3 linked regions of the Mus musculus genome follow. The protein of the gene in region 2 interacts with the protein of the main gene of each other region in a pairwise test. Links are inferred from orthologs where the notes say so. Each region holds a gene or a part of one and is shown on either strand. Other genes may lie near its edges.

The links.
Region 1: the proteins of Htt (region 2) and Ftl1 interact in binary tests that used the Homo sapiens proteins (3 or more experiments, as listed by UniProt). The link is inferred for Mus musculus from reciprocal best matches to the Homo sapiens genes HTT and FTL.
Region 3: the proteins of Htt (region 2) and Dctn2 interact in binary tests that used the Homo sapiens proteins (3 or more experiments, as listed by UniProt). The link is inferred for Mus musculus from reciprocal best matches to the Homo sapiens genes HTT and DCTN2.

Annotation. Positions count from the first base shown.
Region 1 is NC_000073.6:45,457,305-45,460,858, reverse strand, and holds Ftl1 (ferritin light chain 1), read left to right. Parts: upstream 1-972; 5' UTR 973-1,227; coding exon 1,228-1,329; intron 1,330-1,628; coding exon 1,629-1,775; intron 1,776-2,198; coding exon 2,199-2,324; intron 2,325-2,575; coding exon 2,576-2,752; 3' UTR 2,753-2,915; downstream 2,916-3,554.
Region 2 is NC_000071.6:34,876,673-34,880,323, reverse strand, and holds part of Htt (huntingtin), read right to left. Parts: intron 3,595-3,651; coding exon 3,415-3,594; intron 3,300-3,414; coding exon 3,123-3,299; intron 2,897-3,122; coding exon 2,820-2,896; intron 1,522-2,819; coding exon 1,383-1,521; intron 521-1,382; coding exon 398-520; intron 1-397.
Region 3 is NC_000076.6:127,276,216-127,279,465, reverse strand, and holds part of Dctn2 (dynactin subunit 2), read right to left. Parts: intron 3,083-3,250; coding exon 2,922-3,082; intron 2,765-2,921; coding exon 2,617-2,764; intron 2,212-2,616; coding exon 2,146-2,211; intron 1,980-2,145; coding exon 1,941-1,979; intron 1,772-1,940; coding exon 1,694-1,771; intron 1,600-1,693; coding exon 1,528-1,599; intron 1,347-1,527; coding exon 1,244-1,346; intron 1,150-1,243; coding exon 1,058-1,149; intron 1-1,057. UniProt on the Homo sapiens protein: Part of the dynactin complex that activates the molecular motor dynein for ultra-processive transport along microtubules. In the dynactin soulder domain, binds the ACTR1A filament and acts as a molecular ruler to determine the length.

The sequences.
Region 1 (3,554 bases), on a different chromosome or scaffold from region 2:
TTTCCCTTTGCTCTCTTCCCAGGCTTCTGAGATTAGACCCTGGTATGAGCCCGTCCTGTCCTCAAAAGTCCAGTTGGGCCTTGCATGCCCCAACTGTTCTGCGTAAGACTGACTGTCTGTTTCTGGGTCCTGAGTTCTTGCTCTCCCTAACTCTCGGGCCTTTTGATTCCAAAAGAGCAACCTGCAAGGAGGCTTCTGGACCAAACTCCAGGAAGGAGCCCAGCAATTCTCCAAGCGCCATCATGCGTGTCTGTTTCTAGAAAGACAGGTTCACTGACACAGACCCAGACAGACAGGCTGACCAGAACTCCAAAGTCCTGTCTGGGCCTCCACATGTCACCTTCCAGAGCACCCGAGGGAGGTGCACACACGGTAACCCAAGGCTCTCTGCCCACTCCAAGCCCTCAAAGGGCTTCACGACCTCCTGGGTTACAGAAAACAGAAAAACAAGCAAACAATCTTAGTTCCTATGGTGAACCTAAAACCCTATACTTCTGGGCATCCCTTCCATTCCCTCAAGGAGATCTCTAGAATCTTTGGAATACCAGACTTCCTCATGACGTGACATATCCCTTCATTGTGTGCAATTGGACATATGGAGGTTCCCTTTGCATTTACAGACATTACCCCACACTCAGCCCATCCCCAGATCCATGTTCTCAGGCCCCAAAATTCTCTTTTGTGAGACACCCAGAAAAGGACCTCGAAGTCATCCCCTCCCCAGGGTCTCAGTGACCCGGAGCCCAGAACCCTGCGACCCCTCCAGGTTGCGCCTCCGGATCCGGACCACCGCCCCTCCCCCAAGCCTCCATTTCACAAGGCCTCGCGCTCCAGTCCCGTGACTTCATCTCATGGGACTGGGTGGGTGGGGAGCGAGGTTCCCCTCAGCTCCGGATTGGTCAAGTATACTTTTCCGTCTCCGCCTCACGCCACCGCCGATTGGTTAGTCTCGGGCCTGGGGCACCCCTCCCTCCGGAGGGTCAACATGCTATAAAAGGAGCGCTCCTTGCCCGGGACTTAGAGCAGCGCCTTGGAGGTCCCGTGGATCTGTGTCTTGCTTCAACAGTGTTTGAACGGAACAGACCCGGGGATTCCCACTGTACTCGCTTCCAGCCGCCTTTACAAGTCTCTCCAGTCGCAGCCTCCGGGACCATCTCCTCGCTGCCTTCAGCTCCTAGGACCAGTCTGCACCGTCTCTTCGCGGTTAGCTCCTACTCCGGATCAGCCATGACCTCTCAGATTCGTCAGAATTATTCCACCGAGGTGGAAGCTGCCGTGAACCGCCTGGTCAACTTGCACCTGCGGGCCTCCTACACCTACCTCTCTCTGGTGAGCAGCTCGGGGTTGCCTTCTGAACGGGGGGGGGGGGGGGGGGTCCATCACACCCACCCTCCTGCGCATGCGCGGGCCTTCTTTGTTCCATGCAGGGCAGAGACTGTGCTCCGACCTCTCCCTCTCCCTGCGCGCTGTGTACATAGTAGTTTTGTCTGACTGGAACTCGCTGGGCAGACCGGGCTGCCCTCGAAATCTCACACGTACTGCCTCTACCTCTTGAGTGTTGCGATTGAAGTTTACAGTGTGAGCCGAGCCACCGCGTTCCGTTAACTCGTATTTGTAACCTCCCGCAGGGCTTCTTTTTTGATCGGGATGACGTGGCTCTGGAGGGCGTAGGCCACTTCTTCCGCGAATTGGCCGAGGAGAAGCGCGAGGGCGCGGAGCGTCTCCTCGAGTTTCAGAACGATCGCGGGGGCCGTGCACTCTTCCAGGATGTGCAGGTAAGAAGCGGGGGTATTGGGCACTACCGAGCATGTGCGTTTACTTGCCATCCCCATAGTTTGGGCATCCGGATAGACGTCTTGGAAGGGAGTGGTGGCAGGACTAGTGTAGACAATAGGAGTATGTAGAGCAACTAAACCCACCAGGATGTCAGAAACTGGAAAATGGGGGTAATTACAGAATACAGATGAGGACTGCTGGGCTGGGGAGAGGCGGTGTCTCTCTAGCTAGCATGGAAATCACAATGTAGACCAGGTTGCCTCCTATCAAGAGATCCTCCTGTCTTCTCGCCCAGTCTCTCAGTGGTGGGATTAAAGACAGTATCCCATTATTTTTCCCCACTGTGCCCACTTTTCCTGTGCAGTCAGTTTTATATTGGCTGGGTGAAGGATGTAATCTAGGCTTGATATTCTTGTGTGCAGAAGCCATCTCAAGATGAATGGGGTAAAACCCAGGAGGCCATGGAAGCTGCCTTGGCCATGGAGAAGAACCTGAATCAGGCCCTCTTGGATCTGCATGCCCTGGGTTCTGCCCGCGCGGACCCTCATGTAAGTACCTTGCTAATCATTTCTTCCCTTCTCTGACAAAACCTAGACTGTTGTGTGTTGGCTTTCAGCTCCCAATAATTTAATCCTCCTGCCTCCCGAGTGCAGATTGCAGAAGCACCACACACAGTACTGAGGACACACCTACCTACCTACCTACCTGCCCTTGAGGGCAGGATTTTTTTTTTTTAAAGCTTCCTGCTCACACCTGTCTCTTAGAACTCGGTGTCTGATGTCTCTTCCTTCCTTTACAGCTCTGTGACTTCCTGGAAAGCCACTATCTGGATAAGGAGGTGAAACTCATCAAGAAGATGGGCAACCATCTGACCAACCTCCGCAGGGTGGCGGGGCCACAACCAGCGCAGACTGGCGCGCCCCAGGGGTCTCTGGGCGAGTATCTCTTTGAGCGCCTCACTCTCAAGCACGACTAGGAGGCCTCTGTACCTTCCAAGGGGCTCCCCCCTCTGCTCTGCACCAGCCCGCCCTGGGACCTCCACCTGAATGAACCTCTCAAGCCACTAGGCAGCTTTGTAACCGCCCTGGAGCCTCTGTCAAGTCTTGGACCAAGTAAAAATAAAGCTTTTTGAGACAGCAGCTGGTGTTTTTTCTATATATGTGGGAGGGGTGCACGAGAAAGAAGAGGTTGGCTGTATGTACTCCTGTTTTTTGTGGGAACCCACATGTGATAACTTACAGCGATCTCTGTGTGGTAGTATCTGCCTTTTCATGTGGCAAATCCAGGTCGTAGGAGTCTGTAGCCTGTAGCAGTTTGCCAGTCCTTGGTTTATGTTACTGTGCAGGGAAGTGAAAAGGCTTAAACATCCAAGTTCAGAAATGAGTTAAACATACAAGTAGAAGGCCAGGAGGTGAGCAAGCTGAGCCCTGGGTGCTGGCTGAGCGAGGGTGGGGAGCCAGGGTGTCTTGCTGGATTCCGAACTAGATGCTGGGCCCATCAAAAAGAGGATGTGAAACTTGGGACCATTGCCCAAATGGGAACTAAACCATTGCAAAGGGGTTAGAAACATGGGAAGTTGGTGGGGTGGGGGGTGGAACACCGGACAATACTGCTGTGTCAGCTCACACTGGTTAAAACAAGTCCAAGGGTCGTATGAAGCCACATGATAGGCCCTTGGCTCAGTATTATGCCATGGCTCTGGGGAAGCAGTCATGTGGACAGGAAGATGACCCAGCACTACAGGTTTCTTCTAGTCAGGCCACTCCACCCCTAAAAGC
Region 2 (3,651 bases):
AAACAAACAAGAAAAAAAATGTCATCAAAAGCCTGTGGGTGTTTTCTTAATTAGTGGTAGATGGCAGAGGACCCAGCCCATAGTGAGTGGTGTCATCCCTGGGTTGGTGGTCGTGGGTTCTGTAAGAAAGTAGGCTGACCAACTATGGAGAACAAGCAAGTAAGCAGTACTCCTCTATGGCCTCTGCATCAGCTCCTGACTCCAGGTTCTGGCCCTGTTAAGTTCCTATCCTGACTTTCTTCAATGATGGTGTTAAGCCAAATAAGCTCTTTCTTCCCCAACTTGCTTTTTGGTCATAGTGTTATATCATAGCAACAGAAACCCTAACTAAGACACAAATCTAACTTTCTGACAAGCAGAGCTGAGGATTTCCTGGACTCAACGGATTATTGCCTACCGAGCTCATCATGAAGTCATTCATATCTTCAGCAGGGATACGGTTGACCAGCTCTGCACCTTCCAGCAGTGCAGAATCTGATCTGGTCCAACACTGGGATCTGACAAGCTGGAGGTACCAGTCCTGAGAAGAAAAGAAAATTGAATGGGACTGGGTAGGCACTTCGGCTTCTCTGGGCTGTGATAGAAGCACCGACGGCTGGCTGTACAGACATCAGACACATCTTGGGCTTACACTCTCTAGACAGCTAGTCTTCCCTCTCTTGTTCTGTGCTTGAATGCCCTCTTCTTTTCCACCTGTGGACCTTCCAGCAGTCCTTGCAAACTCAGCCAAGTTCTCAGTGTTCACAATTTTTGCTCTACCTGCACTCTAGATGATGCACCATCTATACTATACTGGAGTATCTGCCTCCCTCATCTTTCCCAGCAGCCAAAGCCAAAGAAATGCCTCCCACAAAGCTGGAGAGTGAGCCTGGGGCAAATGTGTGTTTTCTGTCATGGGCTGCAGGCTTCTAAAATCTCATCTCCTTGCCTAAAAGGCAAAGGCCCTAACAGTTTCTAATTCTCAAGTGTGAATGAGAAAGGGTACAGATGACAATACATTATATAGCTGGTGGCAGTAGGTGCATCAATTTATAGGAGATAGAAGGTTCAGAGGGGGAGGCAGGCCAAGTTTTGTCAGCATGTGCTGGACAATGTCTGCAGTCATAGGTCCTGGACCACAACCAACTTTTCCTGACTTGCTGACTAGCCACCTGACTTGCCCCCACAGTCCTCCACAAAAGCCTCACATCAGCACTCCTGTTCTCAGTAGGACCTCTTGGCCTCCATCCTGCACTCTAATCCCAAGCAGGGCATCTAATGACCTGAGCTGAGTGTCAGGTCCCATGTATACTGACAGCCACCACTATCCTCATTGTAGACAGAGGCTGTCATTGTCTCCACAGGGTTCCTGGTCATCACACTTAGACATTCGGGACACTTACTTTGTCTGGACTCACTGTTTCCAGAGATGTGTGCCCATCCCCATCCAGTGGGTGGGAAGTGACTGGGGGCAAGGGGCTAAGTGAGTCCTGCACAGTAGAGAGTCGGAATCTGTCCAGCAGTGAATAGAGCCTTTGGTGTCTGGAATAAAAAAGCCAGAGTAGTTTGTTCTTTGGTTTGAAATCTCAGTTTTTGCACAGATGAGTTCTAGAAACATGTAATACCAAGGAGCACTAGGAGCTTCTTAAGACAGGGCAACAGGTTTTGGACTTTCCCTTCAACATTCTAAAGTCATGATGCACATTTACGCCCTAGTTACTTTAAATTACCAAAATTTATACCTCACTGATATTTTCCAGAAGTTTCATTTATGCTCAACATTCCATTAGGCAATGAACTATATAACCGCTAACAAAGCTATTCTATTCTACTCTTTCTTTTCTTGGCAATATTAGAGATTGAACCTAGGGACTTGTGCACACTAGACAAGTGCTTTACCACTGAATTACATAATCCTAGCCATCGTATTTGTAATGTGTGCAAAACAGATAAATTTTAAGATCCAAGTGCACAAACTCCATTTAATCCCCAATAATGACACAATTCATTCCATTAGAAATGGTCATTTCACAGAAAACCATTTCATCTGGCCTAAATTATTTATGAAGTCATAATCTTCCTTATCTTGGTCTATGACTACAACTACTGTCAAACACAATGATAATTTATTCTCTTACTATACAGAGTCAATGTGATACTTCATATGTCAAATGATCAAATGTCAGCATCATGTGGCTCTGCAGATTGAGAAAAATCATCCAGACCATGCCCTGTCCCATTATGAAACACCATGAAAAATCCTCTGAAGATTAAAGTTATGAGAGACCCTCTCGAATGCTCCCTTCCCCCTTCAGCAATGGAAAAGAGGTGAAAGCTTTTCTTAATTTATCTTGTAGTCAAGGAACTACACTTACACTACAGATGGAAATGTTTCTAATAAAGGCTTCTAAAAGACTTTCAAACAATTAGGCAAAAGAATAGCTATGAAGAGATGTCACTTAACATAATGTGCACATGCCAAGAGCCAGGTAGTGCTCTCATGTTTACTCCCTCCAACCTGGCAATTAGGTTCTAGCTTTATTCCCACTCAGTCAGGGTCCAGTAGCAGAGGTAACAAACATACTTCTTATCCCTTCAACAGTCACAAAGTTCAGGAGTCCCTTCTCTGTGCAACAGGTATTTGAGTGCCACTTCTTCATGTCTACTAAAGTGAGACATGACTAAATTTCATCTGATATTTAGATAGTCTTTTCTACTCTGGCATTGCTGTAGTAAACTCACTGTACACTAATTCCTTTGTCTACCTATTTGTTCCTGAACATATCTATGTGTTAATACGCTGGTTGCCCAAGTGCCAGGACCCCACGCTGCAGTCTTACCTTTGTGCAAGCCCACTGTTCTGGAGGTGTTCTTGGATTCTGTTTAGTTCCTCCTCTGGCAACTGGGCCATGCTGCTCTACACAGACAAGAACACATCAGGGCTTTTGTGATATACAACCTCACACCCACTTAAAAAGGATAAATTACTATACACAGTATATCTAAAAAGAGCCGTTGGTCAGATACACAAATAACAAATATGACATACATGCTCTTTATCAGTGGCCAATCAAGACCAGGTCAATAGACCAAATGTTTTGATTGACTTTCTAAGTTTTGATATAAATTACCATTTTCAGTACCTGTAAATTTGCAGCCAAAAGCATTTCTACCCGGCGACAGGCCAGGGTGTCGACCATGCGAGCCAGCGCACGGAAGGGGGTGCCCAGGAGCCTGTCCACATATAGTGTGAGCACAGCACCAGACTGGCTGAGATGGATGCCTTCCAAGCACTGAAGTGTTTTCTTCAGAGTGGTTGGCTAATGTTGAGAAGGAACGAAATTTATTATTCCTCAGACTGATAACTAGTACTGACAAAATCCCAGTATCCCATTTTTAAGTTGGAGAAAGCAAACTGGCAGGCTAAAGACTTACCGTTGAAAGATTTTCACAGCGAGACTGAATTGCCTGGATAAAAAGACCACTAGCTGCAGAATTACGATGAATGGCACTAATAAAGTCTTGTACTGGAGGCTCATGAGACAAGCTGATCAGATCTTGAATGTGATTCACAATGAGCCATGTTAAGTGTTCTGAGTCATGGAGATTCTGACACTAGAAAGATATAATAAAAGATATATTTCAAGTGGACAAGAAGGCTACAAAGTGTAA
Region 3 (3,250 bases), on a different chromosome or scaffold from region 2:
CACGTGACAGCTCTCAGCTGTCTATACCTCCAGCCCTATGGATTCTGACACTCTCTTCTGGCTACTGTGGGCACTTGACACATGTATGGTGCAGAGACATGCAGGCAGACAAAACACCTACCTATACACATAAAAATAAATAGAAGAGCGGGCTTAATGGTACTTGTCTGTAACTCCAATGCTCCCGTGTATATGTGTGTGATGTGTGTGTGTGTGTGTGTGTGTGCGCGCGCGCGTGCAAGGGGATCTAGAATACTTTACAATGAGTTCCTGAAATTTCTGTAAGAGACCATGTCTCAAAAAGAAGGGCTCAAGAAATATCTCAAGGGTTCAGAGCATATACCACTCTTGGAGAAGACTCAAGCTCAGTTTCCAGCTAACAACTGCCTAAAGTCAAGCTCCAATAGTATCTGATGCTTCTGATATTCACAAACACACATTCACAAGCGCACATACACACACACACGAACACACTCCTACTCACACACTCTCTTATACACACACTCACACTAAAATATTTTAATAAGAAAGTAGAGACAAGACATGCTCAGGCCTAATCCCAGCCTAAAGCAGCAGGGTTTGTTTTGTTGTGTGTCTGAGCTCCACTTGAGCTACATGAATACCAGGTCAATTAGGCATATATAGCAAGGCCTGTTTCGGGGTGGGGGGGTTGGGGGTGGGGGGAAGGGGATTCAAGCATGGTAGCACATTCCTGTAATCCCAGCACTCCAGAGGGAGGAGAAGGATGGCCACAAATGTGAGCCAGCCTGGTCTACAAAACAAGCTTCAGGGTCAGTCCAACACACTGTGATTCTACCCAACACTCCCAGTTTCTCCCAAAAGCAAGCAAGCAAGCAAGCAAGCAAGCAAGCAAGCAAACAAAAAAGCCACAGTTAGAAAGAGGTTAACCAGGCTGGGCACAAAGGTCCTACAACTATGAAAACAGAATTGACATTCAAAGCCCTAAGACAAAACCCTCTGAGGTAGGGCTGGAGAACCTCAGGTGCCCTGCCCTGCCCTGGCAAAAAGTGGCAACAAAATAAAAAGACCCCCACACCTGGGTCAGGAGAGCAGTATTATCCTTAAGGGAACTGGCCATCATCTGCTGGGTGGTATCCAAGTGTGTCAGGAGCTGACCAAACTGCATAGCTGCAGAAGTGAAGAGAGCATGGCTAAGAACAGAATCCATGATGAGAGGGGACCACAGGCCCTCCCTCAGCCCAGGGCTCTGCCTGCCGCACACCTTGCTCATGCAGCTGCTTGATGGTGACAAGTCGCTGTACCAGTTCAGGGAGGGTGGAGGCGACTGGGCTCCAGCGCTGGATGGTCTCATAGAGCTGGTGCACCTGGTAAAGTGGGCAGGGCCGAGGGGATGCTAACACCACAGCTGGCAGAGGGAAGGCGCTCCCTTCACTCTCAGCTGGTTAAGACCCAAGGCTGCAAAGCCCCTACATTTGGATGTTACCACTCAGGGGAGGAGCCTGGGGGAGCACGGCAGGTACAGAGATGGAGAAGACAGCTCCTGACCTTGTTCTGAGTGTCTGCGTCCTCCACGGATGCCTTGTGCTTAGCAATCTCATTCACCTTTCCCAGGACACTCTGAAAGCACAGGGGTTAAGGGTGACAGGGCTCCCAGACCTGGGCTTCTAAAGTCCCAAGCTACTTGGAATCCAACTAGCTTTCTACTTAATACCTGAAGCCGAGCCTCTACTTGGTCCAGAACTGCAAGGTCCAGGGCACTCACTTTGGCTTGCAACAGTTCTACCGTTTCCTAGTCAAGGAAGGGTTTGGACAAGTGTCACCAGGAGAAGAATCAAATTATAAAAAAGGTCTGCAACATTTCACTGGAATTAATCTAGGGCTATAAACCCACTCATTATCATAATTAAGACATTCCCATTGACCCCTGTAATCCACATGCCAGCTCCTTCCAGACTCACCATAAGGCAGGCTCCCTGTAGACCTGCAGAAAGGGGATTCTGGTGGGAAATGGAGGGAAGAAGTCAGGAGTCTTCATACAGCCATAGGATGACTCCTGGTTCTAGCTGTAACCCCCTAGCTTCCAGATTGTGGGAACACTGTGAACTACGGGATCATTACTCAGGGCTCTGAGTACTGTAGACTTAGTACAGGAGAGCACCTGACCTGAGCATCCTGGTCACATCGGACAGTGGCCTCCAGCTCTGTCAGACGCTTCTCGAGTTCTGCAACCTATGGGGGAGGAGGAGGGGCAAGAGGAGGAGGCGATTCTTTGTCACCCTCCAACCCCTGCAAGGGCTCCCTTCTTGGACCACATCCCTAGCTACAATCTTAAACTTAAGTTTAAAGTAGATGGACAGCTTGGGAGGTACAGAGGCAGGAGGATCTGGAGTTCAGAGCCAGCCTAAGCCACATCCTTGAGTTTAAAGCTAGTGTTGAGACCCTACCTCAAAAACCAGAAATGCAAGGAAATACAGCGAGTAAGACTTCAGGAGGAGTCCGAAGCTCTCCCAGGACTCAAAAGCTTTCCCTCCTAGGCCTGGCCCTGCAAAGGCCACTCGCACCTCCCTCCCTGGCTCCCAGCCTACACTACCTGACTTTTCCCTAGCTCCCAACCTATGCTACACTCATACTTACTTTGGCAGCTTGAGAGAACTTGTCCTGCTCAGGCCGTGAGTGGAGTTCATAGGTGACCAGGCTGCTGTCTGGGGGGGCCCCAGCTGTAGCCTTACCCCCTGAACTGCCTTTGCTGCTCTTAGTTGCTTCCAGCTGCAGCAGTAAGCGCCTGGGGCACAAGAACAAGTGATAATATCCAGACCCAAAAGATGAGGGCTATTTGAATCTTCTGCCTCATAATTCTCATTAGAGAATGGCTAACCATCTCCCTCCTGTCCTGCACAGTCCCACTCAGCAGTGGCTCTGCCGCGGCTGAGGGCACTCACTTAGCTAGGGCTCCGTCTGGGTCGGCAAGGTTGATTGCAGCATCTGGTCCCAGAAGCTTCTCCAGGTGGGAAGCCACCAGCTGCTGCTTCAGGGCAGCCAGCTGCTTAGCCAGCACCACAGGGGTGAGCTTCTCCTCGGTGGCTGACTCCTTCACTGTCGTCTGATGGAGGAGTCCGTAAGACAGGATGGAAGTGAGAAAAAAAAAAGCAACCTCGGAGAAAGCCATGGCCAGGCTGTTTTATTTACTTTATGTATCTGCATGTATGCAGTGTGTATACCACATGCATGAAGTGTGTGTACCACATGCATGCAATGTGTGTGCCACATG